Macaca fascicularis: one gene and its partner. The protein of the gene in region 2 interacts with the protein of the main gene of each other region in a pairwise test. Links are inferred from orthologs where the notes say so. Each region holds a gene or a part of one and is shown on either strand. Other genes may lie near its edges. The genes, in order: VPS4B and ZFYVE19.

The links.
Region 1: the proteins of ZFYVE19 (region 2) and VPS4B interact in binary tests that used the Homo sapiens proteins (3 or more experiments, as listed by UniProt). The two-hybrid records come from large-scale screens. The link is inferred for Macaca fascicularis from reciprocal best matches to the Homo sapiens genes ZFYVE19 and VPS4B.

The regions. Positions count from the first base shown.
Region 1 is NC_088392.1:17,408,567-17,418,993, reverse strand, and holds the start of VPS4B (vacuolar protein sorting-associated protein 4B), read right to left. Parts: upstream 5,707-10,427; 5' UTR 5,517-5,706; coding exon 5,490-5,516; intron 1-5,489.
Region 2 is NC_088381.1:17,347,922-17,358,348, reverse strand, and holds the start of ZFYVE19 (abscission/NoCut checkpoint regulator), read right to left. Parts: upstream 5,111-10,427; 5' UTR 4,928-5,110; coding exon 4,874-4,927; intron 3,654-4,873; coding exon 3,532-3,653; intron 3,365-3,531; coding exon 3,314-3,364; intron 2,921-3,313; coding exon 2,802-2,920; intron 2,702-2,801; coding exon 2,556-2,701; intron 2,124-2,555; coding exon 2,018-2,123; intron 1-2,017. Other genes in the region: DNAJC17 (dnaJ homolog subfamily C member 17), read left to right, coding at 5,306-5,383. UniProt on the Homo sapiens protein: Key regulator of abscission step in cytokinesis: part of the cytokinesis checkpoint, a process required to delay abscission to prevent both premature resolution of intercellular chromosome bridges and accumulation of DNA damage.

The DNA of each region.
Region 1 (10,427 bases), on a different chromosome or scaffold from region 2:
GGCAGCCTGAGCAGTTGGAGCCCTCCACCTAGAATGTTCTTCCTTCCTTTCCCCAGATAGATGCATGATGTCTCCTTTTCAGTCCTAGTTCAGATGGCAAGTCCTCAGAGAGGCCCTCCCTAATTTGCTATAGAAAAGGCTGTACCTCATCCCTGCTCTCTGCTATCTGCCCCCGCTGCACTCTCTCATCCTATTACTGTCATTATATTTACCTGTACACTCACCCACTGGCTGTCTCCTTTAGGGAGGTAGGCTCCATGAGGACAGGACTTCACCTTGAGCTTCCCACGCCTAGAATGGTGCTGGCATACAACGGGTACTCAAAATTGTTTAACGAATGACAAAAAAATTCCCCTACTCCTTTTTCAGTATCTTCTTCCTTTTAATTACTTCACTTCTGTCATTCTTAACATTTCTCTCCACTAGATATTTCCATCAACGTACAAACAGCCCTCCTTTAAAAAGTCTTATTTGATAACAAAATACTGTTCAGTGTTAGTTCTGTTTCTCTGCTACCTTTTAGAGTCAAAAATCTCACCAGAGTGGCCTCTATTCTCTTTCCGTTATCACATAGTAAAACGGCTCCTATGAAGGCTCTCTAGTATGCTAGATCCAAACACCAGCTCTGTCTTCTCGATCTTCTGACATTGAAAGTTGATTATTTCCTCCTTCTTGGACACTGTCCTCTGCTGAGTCCCCTACGACCACTTGGCTGGTTTTCCTCCCACCGCTCTGGTGCTCCTTCTCAGTCTCCTTCATTGATTCTCCCTCTCGTATGTGACAATGAAGTATATTCATCAGGTGTGGGCTGGGACTCACCACCCTACGTGGTTTGCAGTGACCTAAGGCTGATGATCTTTGTGTGTGTGTGTGCGCGTGCGTGTGTGTTTCAGAGCACGCACAAAGTTTTTTTGTTTTTCTTTTCATTTATTGGCCTCTCTCTCCCGGTTAGAATGTAAGCTCTAGGAGAACAGCAGTTATATCTGTTGTCTTCACTTCTTTATATTCCCAGAGTCTATTACAGTGGCTGACACAAGACTGAATGATGTATCACCCCAGGATCACTCAGGATCCAGTTATCAATATGGAAGTATAAAGGTTGGGAACATGTGGAATTGTCCTTTTCCACTTAGGAGACCCAGACACATCCACCTTAGAAAACCCTGAGAAATGGGGTAAATTCTACAATTACCTGCCTCAGGAGAAAAGGTGTCCCAGGCCCTGTCTGTCGAGACCAATTCTTTCTGCTCTGCTGTGGAGCTGATCCCCACCTTCCTCCGCTGACCTTTACTCCATCAATGACATGTCTATCAACTGTTCTCTCCAATCTTTCCTTTTTTCCCTCAGCAGAAAAATGTGTTGTCCTATCTCAGACTCACTTCTGCAGAACACAAACTACACACCATCTCTCCTCAGCTCCTCGGTTCCCCTATCTACATCTCACTCAACTCTTTGCCTCCACATCAAAATCCCGAATACCCACACTCATCCCAGTTTCCCGATCTGCTATTTCTCACACAGCAATGCTTTCTGCCTCCTGACAGCCAAATCTTATGCTTATCTCACTCCCTCTTCGCAGCACTTCACACACACAACAAGTACCCTGACAGTGTCTCCTTGCTTGGCTGTCATGACATCATTTTCTTCTAGGTTTTAGTCCTTTTTTTTTTTTTTTTTTTTTTTTTTTTAAGACAGGGTCTCACTGTGTCACCCAGGCTGGAGTACAGGGGTGTGATCACAGCTCACTTTAACCTCCACTTCCTGGGCTCGAGCCATCCTCCCACCTCAGCCTCTGGAGTAGCTGGGACTATAGGCATGCACCACCACACTCAGCTAATTTTTGTAGAGAGGGGGTTTCACCACGTTGCCCAGACTGGTCTCGAAGTCCAGAGCTCAAGCGATCCGCCTGCCTTGGCCTCCCAAAATGCTGGGATTACAGATGTGAGCTACCGCACCTGGCCTGGTTTTACTTTTGATTAACAATTCTTTTCCAGGCTCCCGTTTCTCTCTCCTTAAATGTCGCTAATCCATAGAATTTCTACCTTGGTCTTTGTTTTGGCTTACTCTGTATACTCTCCAGGATGTGACTCTGTATGCCTACAACCTCTACTGCCACCTGTATGCTAATAATTCCTAAATCCTTATTTCCAGCCTAGTTCACTCTCCCTAGTTCTACACATGCATATGCAAATATTCACCAACATTTCCATTTGATTGTCTCCACAAGCAACTAAAACTCAACAAGTTTAGAACCAAATTATTTTGCTCCCTTGCCCTGGCCCCAAATATCTCTCCTTTTGTATTCCCAGAACCAATCCCTACCTACTCAGATACCCAACCCCGAAATCTGGGAGAAAACCCAGACTATTCCTCCTCCCTTTCAAAACGCAGATACAGCCAGGAGCGGTGGCTCACGCCTGTAATTTCAGAACTTTGGGAGGCCGAGGTGGGGGGATCACCTGAGTTCAGCAGTTGGAGACCCACCTGGCCAACATAGCGAAACCCCGTCTCTACTAAAAATACAAAAATTAGCTGGGTGTGGTGGTGCATCCCTGTAATCCCAGTTGCTACTTGGGGGCACTGAGGCAGAACAGCTTGAACCCAGGAGATGGAGGTTACCATAAGCCGAGATCATGCCACTGCACTCCTGCCTGGGCAATAGAGTGAGACTCCGTCTCAAAAAAAAAAAAAAAAAAAAGAAAAAAAAAATGCAGATACAAGCTTGACTCTTCTCCATCTTTAATTTTTCTCCTCTGATCAATCCTTTTCACTTTATTTGAATGGATACTCTCCTAATTTGGTCCCTCACCGCCTCCCATCAGACAGACTTTGCCTCCTTGCCCAGTACAATATACTGTAATAAAAGTTATGTGAATGTGGTTTATCTCTCTCAGCATCTTATTGTACTGTTCTCAACCTTCTTGTGATTATGTGAAATAATAAAATGCCTACGTGATGACACGAAGTGAAGTGAATGACACAGGCATTGTGACACAGTGTTTCAAAATTATAAACTATTTATTCTGGAATATTTCATTTAAAATTTTTGGACCCAGGTTAACTGTGGGTTATTGAAACTGTGGAAAGTAAAACCACAGAGAAGTGGAGACTACTGTGTAGCTTTGTTACATTATTACATAATCTTGATTTTTAGTTATCTGCATTCCCTCATTAGATTATAAGCATCTGGCCACAGGGAGTTTTGCCTTGCTCAGCACGAAGTTAACCATCACATGGATATTAATCCAAATTTCCTAGGTTAGAAGGCTGAAAAGGTTGAATGAGAAAGCACACATGTGAACCTACCACTAACAAAATCACAATTCAAGATCCCTCCGGCTTAACAGTAACAATTATGCCTTTCATGTTGGTCAGTCTCTGGCTGACGCACTGAAGAAGAGCCAACAGTCCAATTCAAATATGATGCATTCCGGGGCTGGGCACGGTGGCTCACACCTGTAATCTCAGCACTTTGGGAGGCTAAGGCGGGTGGATCACTTGAGGTCAGGAGTTCAAGACCAGCCTGGCCAACATGATGAAACGCTGTCTCTACTAAATATAGAAAAAAATTAGCCGGGCGTGGTGGTAGGTGCCTGTAATCCTAGCTACTTGGGAGGCTGAGGCACGAGAATCACTTGAACCTGGGAGGTGGAGGTTGCAGTCAGCCAAGATCATGCTGCTGCACTCCAGTCTGGGCAACAGAGCAAGACTATCTCAAAACAACAACAAAAAAAACCTGCAAATGATGAAGATTATGTTGTAGAGTATCGAAATCGCATGCGAAGTCTCTGACAAATGAAAAGTTGGTGAAATAAAAATTGTTAAAAAGCCAACGATGACAAGATGGGCACTTCAGAAGGGTCACCTTTAATACTCAAGGGAAAAACACTTTTATCAAATGACCAACGCTTTTTCCAAATACGTTTACCGAAAAGAACCTTTCCAAATAGGACTACAAAAAGCTACAAAAACCTCACGTGAAGATTGCTGAATCTTAGTTTAACACAACCTTGGTGAAAAAGATACAGTCGGCCGGGGGTGGTGGCTCACGCCTGTAATCCCAGCACTCTGGGAGGCTGAGGTGGGCGGATCACCTGAGGTCAGGAGGCCAGCCTGGATCAACGTGGTGAAATCTCATCTCTACTAAAAATACAAAAATTAGCCAGGAGTTGTGGTGGGCAACTGTAGTCCCAGCTACTCGGGAGGCTGAGGCAGGAGAATCGCTTGAACCCGGGAGATGCAGGTTGTAGTGAGCTGAGATCGAGCCACTGCACTCCAGCCTGGGCGACAGAGCAAGACTCCGTTTCAAAAAAAAAAAAAAGAAAGAAAAGAAAAAGACACAGACAAATCAACACTTGACTTATTCTACAAAATGAGTCATTGCTGCAATTATATAATTATTTTGTGAAAGATTAAAAAATTTTTTTTTATAATCTTCTAGGTCGATTTTCAAGACAAAAGTCCCAAGCAAGCCTCCTTTCCCACTCTTTTTGTGTATGCGTGCGTGAAATTTTAATCTCTGTTTAAGTGGGTCTACTTTGAGTGGTCTTTCTTCAGAATCAATTATCACGGACTAAGGAGTTCTTCCATTACCTTTGATGCCTCTATCAGGCACTCCAATAAAAGTTGAAATGCTTGTTCAACAACCTACCGGAAGTCCAAGACGGGGATTCAATACAAGTATTTTAGGCTACTTTCTTCCCTTATTGACTTACTGGACTGGGAGTCCTCTACATTAAGCCACATTACATTCTAAACTCCACTGAAGCCCTAGATCCATTCTGGGGATAGGAGACACCATTACATGAATTTCTTTTCTGAAAGAATTCTATTCCACAGAAGACTAACGATTAAGCCTAAAATCTTAAGATTCCATGATTTGTGTACAAAACACTGTGCTCATTGCGGTAGAAGAGGGGAACTGGAGCCACACAGAAGTTTAAGAATAGTCCTCGATCTTACACACTACAATCTGGGGGCCACAGGAGACTGCACATAAATTCAATGACTTCACGCAGACTGTATGTAGCCTGGCTGTAATTTCAGATTCTTAGTCTGTTCCCATATTTCTACTCATCTGACAGCTCAGAATAAAGGCATCTGCTGTCAGCTTGAGAAACTAAGACCGAACTATGATCACTCTATTTTCAACTGGTCTAGAACAGGGCTTTGCAAAAATTACGTTCTTTCTCCCTTAACCCTGATTGGAGAGATCTGCCCAGATCTTGGCTGGTTTGGGGACGTGAAGACCCAACAAAAGGGAGCAGTATCACAAAGTCAGTGGCTCGGGAGACCCCAAGACCGGGTCAGAAAAGACCTTTCCGCTGGAAAACGGGCCCCTCTCCCACCTGCGGCAGGTCCCCGGACCCGCCCTCCTCCTTCCCGACCACAGGCGCGGCCGCTTCCTCCCTTCTCCCCGCCCCCCACCCGCTTCTCGCGCCTCCCCTGGGTCCCAGCTCCCTAGGGGAACGGGAGATGAGCAATGATACCTGGAGGTTGGGCGAAGTGGATGACATGGCGGAGTTCCCAGGCGGTTCCCAAGGGGAACGAGGGGCGAGAAGAGCCAACGGCAGCGACGTCCAACCGCGCCCGGGGTAACAGCCCCCAAACTGGGGAGTCCGGTGGTTCTCGGACCGCGAGCAGCAGCCTCCCTTCCGGAACTTGTTTTCAGACAACACTCTCTCCACTAGCAATCGGACCCTCCCCACCAAACTTCCGCAATCCCGAGCCCCTCTAGGTTCTGGTCCCGCCTCTGCTCCGGGCACTTCCGATTTCGTCATCAGCACGCGCGCACCCAGTCACCAGACTCCCTTCTCTCGCCACAGCGCAGGCCCTCCCTAGGCCGGGAGAAGTAGCCTGGAACCCAAACGAGCCCTGGCGGAAGTCGGGCTCGGCGCAGGCGCACTGAAACTCTGGCCTAGGGGCGGGGCGGCAGCCTGGCGGACCTAGGATAGCGCAAGCGCGGAAGCACAGAGCCGGTTGTGGTTTTTTTTTTTTCTGTTTTTTTTTTTTGTTGTTGTTGTTGTTGTTGTTTGTTTGTTTTTTCCCCACCCCCAGGGACGTCTTTTACTTTGAGACGAATTATTGGTCCTGGCTCCCTTCCCTCCTCATCCACGTGCCTTGTTGCCTCGCAGCGTTTGAGTGAAAAACTCATCCATTTCCAAGACCCGCCGACTGGGGGCTTTGGGCCTGTGACTGCGCCTCCCTCACTGCGTGTCCTCTGTGGAATGGGGGCGATCACAGTCCTCGTCTCGGTGGTGAATAATTCAGGAGGGAGTGCGCGGTGAGGCGGCCGCGCAGCGATGCGCTAGCAGTCAGGCCGCGGGCGGGTCGGCGCTCGTTCCTGCTTGTTCTTCCCACGCCACTCGGCATCTTCCAAATGACTGTTGTGTTGGGAAGATGAACGTAAATAAGGCGTGGACGGCCGCTGTCCTCGAGTATATGTTCTAAGAGGGAAGCACTTGTCCTGTAAAATGGGCATTATGCCGGTTATGTTTACAGGCAAATGGCTTGAGGTTAAATGCGTCAGGGATTAGAGGCAGAACCAAGGTAAAACCCTTTCTTAGCCTTCCTATGGTTTGCAGCCACCACCACCGTTTTCTTCTTTTCATAATTAACCTTCTCAAAGGAAAGCAACGTAGATGTTTAATCACTCCATCATTTTTTTCTCACTCATTCCTTAATTTTTTCTAATCTGGCATCTCCGAAAGAATTAAAGTCTTCTTCTCCTCCCTCTTCATTGGTATTGTCAACTACCCCGTTCTTATTTGTCCGGCTTCCTAATGTTCCTTTTCTACCTCCTTCACTGTCTCCCTTTCTTACTCCTTCCTGAGCTTAAGCTGAATTTTCTCAAGAGTCTGATGTCCTCTTCTCTCTTTCTTCTCCACCTCTGCTCATCTTATTCTCTTCTTGAGCTTCAGCTATCAATAGACTAGAAGTCGCTTCAAATCTGGATTTCTAGACCCATCGCATCCCCTGCCCAGCATTTACAACAGCCTCCCAGAGGTTTCCTTCACAGGGTTTTTCTGCAAGACAAATTCAACATACTCAAATTAATTACCTTCTACCCTAAACTTCTTTCTCTGGTCTCTCCTTAGAATAGTATTGCCAAATCTGTATCATCCAGGCTCAAAGCTCAGAGCCCTGTCTCTGCCCTGCATCTACCAGTCCTTTCTCCCTACTTGTGAAATTGCCTTTGCAAAATGGTGACTGAGACAGTGAAAGAGATCTAACTTAACCAACTCCATCTTGCTTCTAACCTCCAAGATGTCCTTCTACATTCCTGGGCATAGGCTGCACTAACTGTGGGAGAAACTAAGTTTATAATTTAAGCAAAGATGGGCCAGGTGCGGTGGCTCAAGACTGTAATCCCAGCACTTTGGGAGGTCGAGGTGGGTGGATCACTTGAGGTCAGGAGTTGGAGACCAGCCTGGCCAACATGGTGAAACTCCATGTCTACTAAAAGTACAAAAATTAGGCCGGGCGCGGTGACTCACGCCTGTAATCCTAGCACTTTGGGAAGCCGAGGTGGGTGACCACCTGAGGTCAGGATATGAAGACCAGCCTGGCCAACATGGTGAAACCTCGTCACTACTAAAAATACAAAAATTACCTGGGCATGGTGGTGCATTCCTGTAATCCAGCTACTCGGGAGGCTGAGGCAAGAGAATTGGTTGAACCAGGACCCAGGAGGCAGAGGTTGCAGTGAGCTGAGATTGCACCACAGTACTTCAGGCTGGGCTACAGAGTGAGACTCTGTCTCAAAACAAACAAAAAAAAATTATCCAGGCGCGATGGTGCCTGCCTGTAATTCCAGGTACTTGGGAGGCTGAAGTAGAAAAATCACTTGAACCCAGGAGGCAGAGGTTGCAGTGAGCCAAGATCACACCACTGCACTCCAGCCTGGGCAACAGAGAGAGAATCGGTAAAAACAAACAAAAAACCCTCTTTTATCACCAGTAATAAGCCATGTTGTTATGATGGAACCCCTGATGTGGAGAAGGGCACATTACCTCTGTGGTATGGTTCCCAAACCTGTAACCTCAATCTAATCATGAGAAAACATCAGAAAAATTCATATGGAGGGTTTTTCTACCTCTACAAAATGACCAGTGCTCCTCAAAAATGTCAAGGTCATAAAAGACGAGGAAAGACTGAGGAACTGTCACAGATTGAAGAGACTAAGAAGATGACAACTAAATGCAGTATGGGATTCTGCATTGGATCCTGAAACAGAAAAGGGCCAGGAGTTGAAAAACTGTTGTAAGAATGAGAATAAAGTCTGCAGCTTAGCTAATAGTAATTTATAAATGTAAATTTCTTAGTGTTGATAAATGTACTATGGTTATTTAAGATGTTAACAGTAGGGGAAGTTGGGTGAAGAATACATGGGAATTCTCTGTATACCTTTGCACCTATTCTGTAAAAGTTTATTTTTAATTTTATTTGTTTACTTATTTTGAGACAAAGTCTCGCTCTGTCACCCAGGCCGGAGTGCAGTGGTGCAATCTCGGCTCACTGCATCCTCCACCTCCCATAATGATTCTCCTTCCTCAGCCTCCCGAGTAGTTAGGATGAGAGGCGTGTGCCACCATGCCTGGCGAATTTTTGTATTTTTGTAGAGATGGGGTTTTGCCGTGTTGTCCAGACTGGTCTCAAACTCCTGTCCTCAAGTGATCTGCCTGCCTCAGCCACCCAATATGCTGGGATTACAGGTGGGAACCACCACACCCAGCCTGTAAGTATTACTTTAAAACGAAAATTTTTCATTTTAAAATTCCCGTTCCCTGGGACTTTACATTTTAGTGGAGTAGAAACTTTTAACCGTTTACATATTTAAAATGTAAATGTAAAAATGTTACATGTGTAAGAGTTTACAGAGTACTTTTGCATACATTATCTTACTGTATACTACAAGGTAAATCTTAAATCTCCCATTTTTACAAAAGAGGAAACAGGCCAGGCGCTGTGGCTCACACCTGTAATTCCAGCACTTTGGGAGGCTGAGACGGGCAGATCACGAGGTCAGGAGATTGAGACCATCCTGGCCAACGTGGTGAAACCCCGTCTCTACTAAAAATACAAAAACTAGCTGGGTGTGGTGGCACGTGCCTATAATCCCAACTACTCGGGAGGCTGAGGCATGAGAATCACTTGAACTCAGGAGGCGGAGGTTGCAGTGAGCTAAGATCGCGCCACTGCACTCCAGCCTGGCGAGAGAGCAAGACTCTATCTCAAAAAAAATAAAGAAAAAAAAGGGAACAGCCTGAGAGGTATCAGTAGAAATGCCCCCCAATTCATTCAGCTTTTATATGGTGGAGCTGGAGTTTGACCCAGGTCTTCTGACTCCCGAATGACAAGTGCTAGGATAGAGGCAGGAAGCCCTGTGGGACCACAGGAGAGAGAAGGCTTAATTCTGAAGGAGTGGTTAGGGATGTCTTAGGGAAAGTTCACTTAAACTGAAGTTTAAAATCTTAATCTGATTTTGACGGAGTGCAGGCCATTTCAGGCAGAAGGAAAAGCAGAAATAAAGGTGCCGAAGAATAAACTACCTGCTCTGTTTGAGGGATCCCTGGAATGTAGGAAGCAGAGGTGCTGTGGGGTTGGAGTGGCAGGAGATAAAGCTAAAAATGCACCAACTGGCACTGCCAGTTAGAGGCTTGGAATAATGAGTTTGGACATCATTCTGTAAGATTTGTTGAAAGCTTTCCTCTTCATTCTGTCACTACCTCCTGCTTTTCTGTCTTCCTGTCTTCCTTCTTGGTAGAATTGTGATTTGGTCAGATGTTGGTTTCATGAAGGTGGATCTGAGTCCTTTTAGGATACACCAGAAAGAGAGAGGCGGCAGTAAGATCAAGCAGGAGGTTCCTGCAAGTGTTTCATTTTAGACAAAAGGGATGCAGAGCCAAAAGGGATATTCCCGGTTCCTGCAGTGCAGCCCCCCTTCTTGGGCGTTGAAGAATAGATTCTCCTCCTGGCCTGGCATGGTGGCTCACGCCTGTAATCTCAGCACTTTGGGAGCCCGAGGCGGGTGGATCGCCTACGGCCAGGAGTTTGAGACCAGTCTGGCCAACATGGTGAAACCTTGTCTCTACTGAAAATACAAAAATTAGCCGGGCATGGTGGTGGGGGCCGGTAATCCCAGCTACTCGGGAGGCTGAGGCAGGAGAATGGCTTGCACCAGGGAGGGGGAGGTTGCAGTGACCGGAGATCATGCCCTTGCACTCCAGCCTGGGCAAGAAGAGCAAAATTCCATCTCGAGAAAAAAAAAAAAAAAAGATCCTGGCTCCTTTCATTGCTTTCACCAATTCAATCTGTTAAAAATCATACTATTCCTCAAGTGTCAGTTCCAATGTCACTTCCTCAGGAAAATTCTGAAACCTCTCTGAGCTCTCATCGCACTTTGGACCTTGAATTGCCCTTAAATC
Region 2 (10,427 bases):
TCCCGGATTCAAGCAATTCTCCTGCCTCAGCCTCCCGAGTAGCTGGGATTACAGGCACCTGCCCCCATGCCCAGCTCATTTTTGTATTTTTAGTAAAGATGGGGTTTCAACATGTTGGTATCCAACTCCTGACCTTGTGATCCACCCACCTCGGCCTCCCAAAGTGCTGGGATTACAGGCGTGAGTCATCACGCCCGGCCTTTCTCAACCCTTTCTAATCACAGATCATCAGCTTTTTGCTCAGCACTAGAGACTATGGTTTCTATTACAAATAAAATCAGTATTCCTCCATTTTCCCAAATGTAAAAAACTAGTAATCTTAGCCATGTCTTTTCCAACCAGATCCATCCCCATCTACCTGATATTTTGACAGTCTGTCCTAAGGGTGGGTGTCCTATGGTTTGAGAATTACTGCCCTAAAGGAACAAGACATGATGAGGCCAAGGTTCAGTCACTCTCTTTGCCTTTCAGGGCAGGAATTACCATTTCCTGGGATCAGCACAGAGAGGGCAATGAAGCCAAGACCTTGTATATCACTGGGCAGGAAGAATTTTACCAGATTAGGTGTGGCTCTGACACAGTCACCTTCAGTTTAGTGTTTCAGAGCAAGAGGTTTAAAATTACAGCTTAGGTTTAAGTCTCATCTCTGCAGCTTAATGTCTGTGTGACCTTGGTCAAGTTCCTCAAGCTCACCAGGCCTGTTTCCTCATTTATAAAAAAGAACAGTATATACCTTATTTTTTTTTTTTTTAAAACAGGGTCTTGCTATGTTGCCCTGGCAAGTCTTAAACTCCCAGGTTCAAGCTATCCTCCCTCCTGCCTCTGCCTCCTTAGGTGTTTAGGATTACAGGCATGAGCCACCACACCTGGCCTCCTAAGATTATCAAGGCTATTCAATGAGATTGTGCCTCTAAAGCAGGATTTCTCAATGTTAGTTCTCTTGACACTTTGGACTGGGTAATTTTTCATTGTGATGTGCTGTCCTGTGACACAGAAGATTTAGTAGCATCCCTGGCTTCTATCCTCTAGGTGCCAGTAATATCCTGAGTTGTGACAACCAAAAAGTCTCTAAACGTTGCCACAAGTAGCCTGGGGGCCAAAATCATCCTTTGTTGAAAAACACTGCTCTGGCTGGGCTCAAGCCTGTAATCCCAGCACTTTGGGAGGCTGAGATGGGCGGATCACGAGGTCAGGAGATCAAGACCATCCTGGCTAACACGGTGAAACCCCGTCTCTCCTAAAAAATACAAAAAACCAGCCGGGTGAGGTGGCGGGCGCCCGTAGTCCCAGCTACTCCAGAGGCTGAGGCAGGAGAATGGTGTGAACCCGGGAGGCGGAGCTTGCAGTGAGCTGAGATCCGGCCACTGCACTCCAGCCTGGGTGACAGAGCGAGATTCCGTCTCAAAAAAAAAAAAAAAAAAAAAAAAAGAAAAACACTGCTCTGAAGCCTTCAAACAGCACTGTCCAACAGAATGTTCTATGATGACAGAAACATTCCATATCATGTTCTATATCTGTGCTGCCCATGATGGCAGCCATGAAGCCCATGTGGCTACTGAGCATTGAGATGTGGCTGGTGCTACTAAATAGCTTCTTCCTCCTTATCAACATCATGATTGCAGAGAATATTCACTGAGTACTCACTATGAGTCAGATACCATCCCAAGTACTTAGTGGATTATCTCATTTACTCCTCGTGATTTCCCTGAGGTAGGTTTTTCCATACATATCTTCATTTTACACATGAGGAAAGTGAGACTTAGGTCAAGTAACTTGTCCAGCATCACACAGCTAATACGTGATAGAACTGGGAATCACTGTCTGATTCTAAAGCCCGTGCACTTAAACACTAGACTTACACTGGCTCCCTTTGGAGTAAGCACTCAATGAATCGTAACTCTTACAATGTTGATCACTCTCTGATTTACATTCATCTCCCAGAGGGTGGACAGCAGAGCCTCTCCAGTCTGGGGAAAGAGGTGGGGCAGATTCCTAGGGAGCCAAATGGAGGGGTTACCTGGGTCTCCTCCTTTCCAGCTGTCGATAGCCACCTCAGCTGCCAGCTGCGTTAGCAGATCCTGTGTCTGCTGGGCTTGGGTCCTGTTGTCTGGTGTGTGATGTGCCTGTCCAGACGAGGAAACCTCAGTGGAGAGCAGGGGTAGCCCAGAAGCAGTCTAGGTCAGGGATGGATGCTAAGGAGTTCTCAAAGCCCAGGGAAAGGAGAAGGATCCACGGCCCACATAATCAAGTAGGTCTGGCAGTCCCCAACAGGACTGAGGGGCCACTTTTTCCTGCCCTACCCAATTGTGCTGTTTGTCCCTGGTCCCCGGGTCTGGTAGCAGGCCTGAGGATCAGGAGGTAGGGGTGGGAGGCTTTGCCAACTCCTGCAAAGTACATAAAATACAAAGGTTGGTGCAAAAGTAACTGAGGTTTTTGCAATTAAAAGTAATGACAAAAACTGCAATTACTTTTGTACCACCCCAATACCTGTGTCTGGGCATCTGCTGGGTCCTCCCCCTAGCACTCCCGCTTCTCTCCTAAGCCACAACACTCACCGGCTGGGGGGTTTGAGAAGGTAGAACTCTGCCCTGCAACGCCGCAAGCCGTGCCTCCATTTCCCGGGTGGAAGGGATGGAGCCCTGACGTTCATCCTTTAGCGCAGCCAGTCGTGCCTCTATCTCTTCCTGTGAGGGGACTAACTCTGCAATTGGCACGGAGGGAGCCTTGTAAGGGCCAGAGGCATCTCAGTCCCAGAAGCCCTGGACTGTGTCCTCTAGGCAACCCCATCTGCCCCCGCTCACTGGGCTTGTTCTCCTGGCGGAGTCGTGCTAGGCGCTCAGCAATCATCTGGTCTTGTCGGGTCAGTCCCTGGCTCTGGGAAGTGCTGGGCTTCTGCCTGGCTTCCAAGGCTGCCACACGCCTGGCAGGATATGAGACAGAGGCTCTTGAAGAAGGCAGAGGGGAAGAGTGAAGGCACCCACTCACTGTTTCCCATTCAAATCGAATCATTTCTGGGCACCTAGGGAGGCCTCCAGTGGGCAATCTGCTGTGCCCCTCACTCATGCCACCCTGCAGCCCAACCTGGCTGACCAGCCAGAGGGTCTAGCTGAAAGGACAAGCTATACCTAGTGCCTGTCCTGGAGAGAGGGCTGAAGAGCTGCTTTACAAGCCCAAGAGGGCAGTGAGGAGCTGGAGAGGAGAGCATTCTCCTGATTCTGTGCTCATTCCATCTAGAAGATTCGGGGAGGGTCTTTCCCTATGGCTCCCTTAGCCTTTCCCCAACCCTCTTTGTCTTTTTCTCTTCAGCACTTACTTCTTATAGTTCTGAGGTGGTGACCACTTGGAGGCATTGGCAGAAGATCCTCTACAGAGAAGAAATCTAGTGTTATAAGTCCTGCCATCCCACCAGGTAGTGCCCCCCACTCCAAACACTTCCTCGGCTGACTCTCGCCATAGAGTACAAAGCTGTGAGGGCTGGCCAGATGCCCACTGCCATACTTGACTGAACTTTCACCCATGCCTGCCTCTCACCTGGTCAGGACCTCGTGGCATTGCTTGCAGACTTTCTGTTGGGTGTTCCCAGTCCGAGGCACTGCTGCACTGAAGCTTAGGCAGCCTGAACAGAAGGCCCTGCCACAATTCTTACAGCCATACTACAAGAAACATGAAACAGGAGATCCACCTCTCACCTGCCCCTACAGGCTGCTCCCAGGGACTCTCCAATCTCACACACAGAGAAGTCACTGAAGTCATGGCCAGCTGCTGGGAGGAGGAAGAGGAGTGGGGCCCCTAAGGCCTAGGGGTGGAGAGTAAAGCAATTCCTCGGTTTCCAGCATCTTATTCAAGCCAAATGAAGGTTTATACAAAATTCCCAGGCTTTCTACCCTGTCTTCAATTCCCTGACCCAGGGGTGTAGAAGGCAGATAGATAAAACCCAGTATTTCAGGCCACTGACTCTTCCACACAGGAGAATCAGAGACTGAGCAGAGCCCATGCCTCCTCTGCTCTTGCTCAGGATGGGCTAACAATAGCCTCCATTTATTAAGCACTTACTATGTACCAGGCACTAAACCCAGTACTTAACATTCATCATGTGATTTATTCCTCACAATTTACACACATTATTTTACTTAATCTTGATGCCAACCGTGATTATACTTGTTTCAAGAGGAACAGAGGTCCTTTTACCCAAACCAAGGTCACCCCCTCAGTAAGACAGCAGATCTCAGATTTGAACCCTGACTCCAAAATCCAGGTTGGTAAACGCTACACAGTCCTGCCTTCCTACATGATACTAATTTACTCCATCTGGTTCCCAGCATCTCCTGGTCAGAATCCCTAGCCACAACTGAGGCAGAGGGGGCCTGCAGTTTACTAGAGGAATCTGGCAGGTCTGTGATAAGGACAGGACAGCTACCCTTCACCATGGTGCCCCTGAATCAGGAGGAAGTGTGGTAACCGAACTCGAGCGACCTGGAGAAGGGCGGGCTGCGGGATGGGGAAGGTTCAGAGCGGAGAGAGTAACGGGCTTGGTGTGATAGACACCGTGCTTCAGAGGGGCAGGGTGGAGAGAAAAAAACCGCCAGATGCTACACTGGGCCGACAGAAAAGAGTAGCGTTGCAAAAATGACGGCAGCGCGCTTTACAGTTTATAGGGAACTCTCAACCTAAAGCACTTCAGTGGACCCTCACATAAACTCAGAAAGCGAGGGAATGTTAGTCCCATTTTACAGAAATGGAAACTGAGGATCAATGACTTCATCAAAACTACATAGCTGGAAAGGGGCCGTAAGACCAAGTTTTGGACGTTAAGTCCCGCGCTTTTCCCTCCTCTCCTCCCTGGCCCTGCAGCTTTCGGGGAGGGAAGACTCGCCTCCTTCTTGAAGAGGGTGAACTTGACAGCGCAGCCGTAGCACCTACTCTCCATGGTGGCTCCCAGCACCGCAGGATCTGCAGAGTTGAAGTCACGCCGCCCAAGTCCTAGGCCCCTTGTACCCTCACCCCAGCTCCGCCCTTCCCTTCCCTGCCCTGCCACGCCCTGCCCCGCCCCACACGCCCACTGGCACTGTCCGGCCGCGACCTACAGCGGGGAATCCGCACGCTCCCCTGCAGCCAGCCTACGGCAGCGGCGGCAACGGGGGCTGCTGGGAGTCGTAGTTCATTCACGACTGCCAGCCTCCCTCAGAGTCAGTCAAGCCTGACCCAGAACACAATTCCCAGAGGGCTAGGCGCCACTCGGAGCCGGCAGTCCCCACGCGCGCTTAGACTCTTGGGAGTTGTAGTACGAATCCGTCAGGCCAGAACCATGGCAGTGACCAAGGAGCTCTTACAGATGGACCTGTACGCGCTGCTAGGCATTGAGGAGAAGGCAGCGGACAAAGAGGTGAGAATGGTGGCGAGGAAGGCTGATCCTGAGAGGTCTGGCGGCCCTTCGTGTCCTAGCGCCAGGGCCGCGGCTGGTATCCGCTCTCCAGGTTCATTCGGGTCCTGGGCGGGGAGCGAGGGTCGGCCCTATGCCCTCCGCAGCGGGCTCCCAGACATTTCCTGGACGGTCCGAGGGCCTCAAGAGGAAGCGGGGAACAGAGGGCTCTTCGCGCCGGGTGGCTGTGCTCTCCCTGTGGCCTCTGTCTGCTAGAGGCCGCGGGGTGAGGCTGCGAGGGAACGCTAGCCTCCTCTGCGCTTGCGCAGTCTCGGCGTCCGTTTCCGCTTCTGCCTTGGCTGTGACAAGAGGTGCCTCGTTTCAGTCTCTTCTGCAGGCTGATTTAATTCCTCCACTTAGAGCCTAGGGCGAAAGAAAAGTCAGATCTCAAGGCCTCTCCACTCCCTTTTCATGCCCCCTTGCCAATGTGACCGATGACCCTGCTGTCTCTATTTTCTTTTCCACTCTAGCCCATTGATTCTTTTCAGGTAGCTGATGCCCTTCTCAGCATGTGCTCGTTAGTGGGCTAAAAGCAGGAGGATCAGAAAGTTAAGGCAGACGGCCTAGAGTTCCATGCTACCTTAGGTGTTGATAAAAGATGCCAGGGAGTGAAACACTGATCAAGCTGGATTTAGGATTTCTGTTATCTCCCCCTGGATCATGGTGGTAGTTTTAACAATATAGGGAGAGGCGTTCATCAAATGAAAATTAGTGCCCAACTGAGCCGAGATCGCGCCACTGCACTCCATCCTGGGCGGCAAAGCAAGACTCCGTCTCAAAAAAAAAAAAAAAAAAAAAAAGTAAAATTAGTGCCCATTAGGCCGGGTGCGGTGGCTCACACTTCTAATCCCCGCACTTTGGGAGGCCGAGGCGGGCGGATCACGAGGTCAGGAGTTCGAGACCAGCCTGGCCAATATGGTGAAAGCCCGTCTCTATTAAAAATACAAAAACTAGCCAGGCGTGGTGGCACGCACCAATAGCCTCAGCTACTCGGGGGGCTGAGGCAAGAGAATCGCTGGAACCCGGGAGGTGGAGGTTGCAGTGAGCCAAGATTGTGCCACTGCACTCCGGCCTGGGTGACAGAGCGAGACTCCGTCTCAAATTAAAAAAAAAAAAAAAAAGGAAAAAAGAAAATTAGTGCCCACTATTGTCCCTGTACTTCTGAGCTGCCCTGCTCATGGGATGAGTGAGCTTTTGAGAAGAGGAAGCTCTGGGGCAGAAAATCAGGGAGACCCAGAGGGTCCCTGAGAGATGCTGTCAACCTGCACAAATCTGTCCCCTGCAGCCGCAGTTGAAATCAGAAGTGGCCATGGCATGTCTATGAAGCATCAAAAGCATCTGCTCCACCTCTCTCATGTTTTAATATTTTAGGATTAATAATTCCTAACACCTGTATAATGCTTACTATGTCCTAGACAGTATTTTTTTTTCCTGGATTGTATTCTAAGTGCTCTCCGTTTGCAAATTATTATTTTTAAAATTCTTTATTTATTATTATTTTTTGAGACGGAGTCTTGCTCTGTCGCCCAGAGCTGGAGTGCAGTGGCGCAATCTCAGCTAATTGCAACTTCTGCCTCCTAGGTTCAAGTGATTCTCCTGCCTCAGCCTCCCGAGTAGCTGGGACTATAGGCATGCACCAGCACGCCTGGCTAATTTTTTTTTTTTTTTTCCGTGATCTTCCCACCTCAGCCTCCCAAAGTGCTGGGATTACAGGTGAGAGCCACCATGCCCTGCCTGTATATTATTTAATTAGTACTTTATTACTAGTGGGAAATTATTTGAGACATTTCATCCAAGATCCGAGTGGGAAATCTGGAGTTTTGGGGTTTTTTTTTTTTTTTTTTTGAGATGGAGTCTCACTCTGTTGCCCAGGCTGGAGTGCAGTGATGCAATCTTGGCTCACTGCAACCTCTGCCTCCCAGGTTCAAGGAATTCTCCTGCCTCAGCCTCCTGAGCAGCTGGGATTACGGGCATGTGCCACCACGCCCAGCTAATTTTTGTGTTTTTATCAGAGACAGGGTTTCACCCTGTTGGCCAGGCTGGTCTTGAACTCCTGACCTCAAGTGATCCACCAGCCTTGGCCTCCCAAAGTGCTGGGATTACAGGCATGAGCTACCGCGCCCAGCTGAAATCTAGAGTTTCTAACCCTGAACTTGAGAACTCCTGAGGAAGTCAGTTGGAAGCCATTCTCTATTAATTAGAGAAGTTACATAATCAGATTTTCTTTTTTTTCAATTCTAGTTTTTGAGAAAAGATCTCTCTCATTCAGGCTGGAATGCAGTGGCACAATCACAGCTCGCTGCAGCCTCGGCTTCCTGGGCTCAAGTCAACCCACCTCAGCCTCCCATGTAGCTGGGACTGCAGGTGTGCATCATCATGCCTGGCTAATTTGTTTTGTGTGTGGTGTGTGTGTGTGTGTGTTTTTTTTTTTTTTTTTCTCCCAGAGATGGGGTCCAGCTGTATTGCCCAGGCTGGTCTCAAACTCCTGGGCTCAAGTGATCCTCCTGCCTTGGTCTCCCAGAGTGCTGGGATTGCACGTGTGAGCCACTGTGCCCTGCCCATAATTGGATTTTAAAGAAAGTATTCAGCTGAATGTGATGGCTCACACCTGCAATTCCAGCACTTTGGGAGGCCAAGGTGGAAGGAATGCTTGAGGTCAGGAGTTTGAGACCAGCCTGGGAAACATAGTGAGACTCTGTCTCTCCATATATATAAAAAACACAAAAAAAAAGCTGGGCAGGGTGTTACACGCCTGTAGTCCTCACTACATGGAAGGCTGAGGTGGGAGGATCACTTGAGCCTGGGAAGTTGCAGTGAGCTATGATTTTGCCACTGCATTCCAGCCTGGATGACAGGGTGAGACCCTGCCTCTCTTAAAAAAGAAACGAAAAAAGAAAAGAAAAAAGGAAAGAAAAGAAAATTCAGCTCTAGTCTGCATAATGAAAATGGGTGGGGGTGGGAGGAATGGAAGAGCTGCCACTAGGGGGTCAGGTGGGGCTGGTGTCTAGGCAAGAGACCAAGGTCTGAGCTGGGCAATAGTGACTGGGATCCAGTTCTAACTCAGATGAGATAAGGGATATGTGTGAAGCCTCTTTATAAAGCGTAACAGGTGCTGTTCCTGCCTTTTAGTAGGAGAGGCAAGATTCATGCATACAAGGGAGACATGGTAAGTTCCTTAAGAGGGGTACAAAGTGCTGTGGATGTTCAGTGTAGGCTGAGATTGCTTTTAGTTTGAGAGAAGGGATAAAGGAAGTAGAGAAGGTATTTGGGGCCTTGAAGAATGAGAAGAGTTTGGACATGTGGAGGTGGAGGCAGGGCATTCTAAGAAAGCAAATGTATATATTAATACGTACAGTCTATTTTGGAGCATAAGTAGGTGGCACCCTCAAAGAGGCCTTACCTATTTTTCTTTTTCATAGCAGCCAGTTCTCCTTTCTAGCACTTATTCCCATTTGCACTTTGGATACACTGGCTAACTTCATGGCAACAGACACTTTTTGGTAGAAAACAAGAGAGACCTAGGCCCTGGTGTCCCCTCACCATGGTTTAATACCTGTCATAGCCAACCTAGGTTGCTGTCATAGGGCAACCTAGAGGATACACAAATATTTCAAGTGTATACAAGGAAGAACTCCTAAACTGGTTGTCCAAATAGCCTGGGAGTTCTTAATTTGGCCTCTACAGAAAGTCTCCAGGAACTGGGTGAAGGAACCTCTGAAAATCATGTGTGATATTTTTTATGTATTTATTCTAGAGGAGAGGGGGACATTTTTTTTTCTTTCTTTTTTTTTTTTTTTTTTTTTTTGAGGCAGGGTCTCTCCCTGTTACCCATGCTGGAGTCAGTGGCATGATTACTGCTCACTGCAAACTCCTTCTCCTGGCCTCAAGCAATCCTCCCACCTCAGCCTCAAAAGTAACTGGGACCACAGGTGTGCACCACCATGCCCGGCTAATTTTTGTATTTTTGTAGAGATGGGGTTCCACCATGTTGGCCACGTTGGTCTTGAACTCCTGGGTTCAAGCAATCCTCCCGCCTTGGCCTCCGAAAAGTGTTGGGATTATAGGCATGAGGTACCACACCTGGCCAGAGGAGAGAATTTTAATTCAAAAAAGGTTAAAGAAGCCCTGATGGAGGCCAAGCTCCCTGTGTTACTGATGGTGAAACTGCAGCTCAGAGAAGTGGGTTAGTGGCAGAATTGAGACTAGAACCCTGATGCCCTGATGCCCAGCTCAGGCCTCTGCTCCGTCTACTAAGGCTCCCTGGCCCTGTCCAGCGCGGTTCAGTGGTAGTGATGAGCACCACTACCAAATTTAACTTGTGTTCAGACTACTTCTCTGAATCCCTAATCCATGTATCTATCTGCCTGTTTAATCCCTCCATTTGGATGTTTCACAGCAGTCTAAATCTTACTACATCCAAAAATTGGCCAGGCGCAGTGGCTTATGTCTAATCCCAGCACTTTGGGAGGCCCAGGCAGGCACATCACCTGAGGTCAGGAGTTTGAGACCAGCCTGGCCAACAGGGTAAAATCCCATCTCTACTAAAAATACAAAAATTAGCCAGACGCAGTGGCACGTGCCTGTAGTCCCAGCTACTGGGAGGCTGAGGCAGGAGAATCGCCTGAACCTGGGAGGCGGAGGTTGCAGTGAGCTGAGATCAAGTCACTGCACTCCAGCCTGGGTGACAGAGCTAGAATCTGTCTCAAAAAAAAAAAAAAAAAATTGAACTCTTTCAAGTCTCTCTCCAAACCTGCTCCTTCCTTGGATTTCCCTATCTTATGGCACCACCATCCATCTATTCAAGCTAGGAACCTGGAGTCATTCTCAGTACCTCCCTGTCCTCTCACCCATGCCATCTAGAACATCACCGGGTCCTGATGAGTCAGGCTCCCAAATAATCCTCAAACCTGTTCACCTTCTCTGTCTCCACCACCACCACTCCAGCCCAGGCCCCCATCCACTCAGTCGAATGTTTCAAGGAGCCTGCCAACCTGTTTCTGCTTTCAGC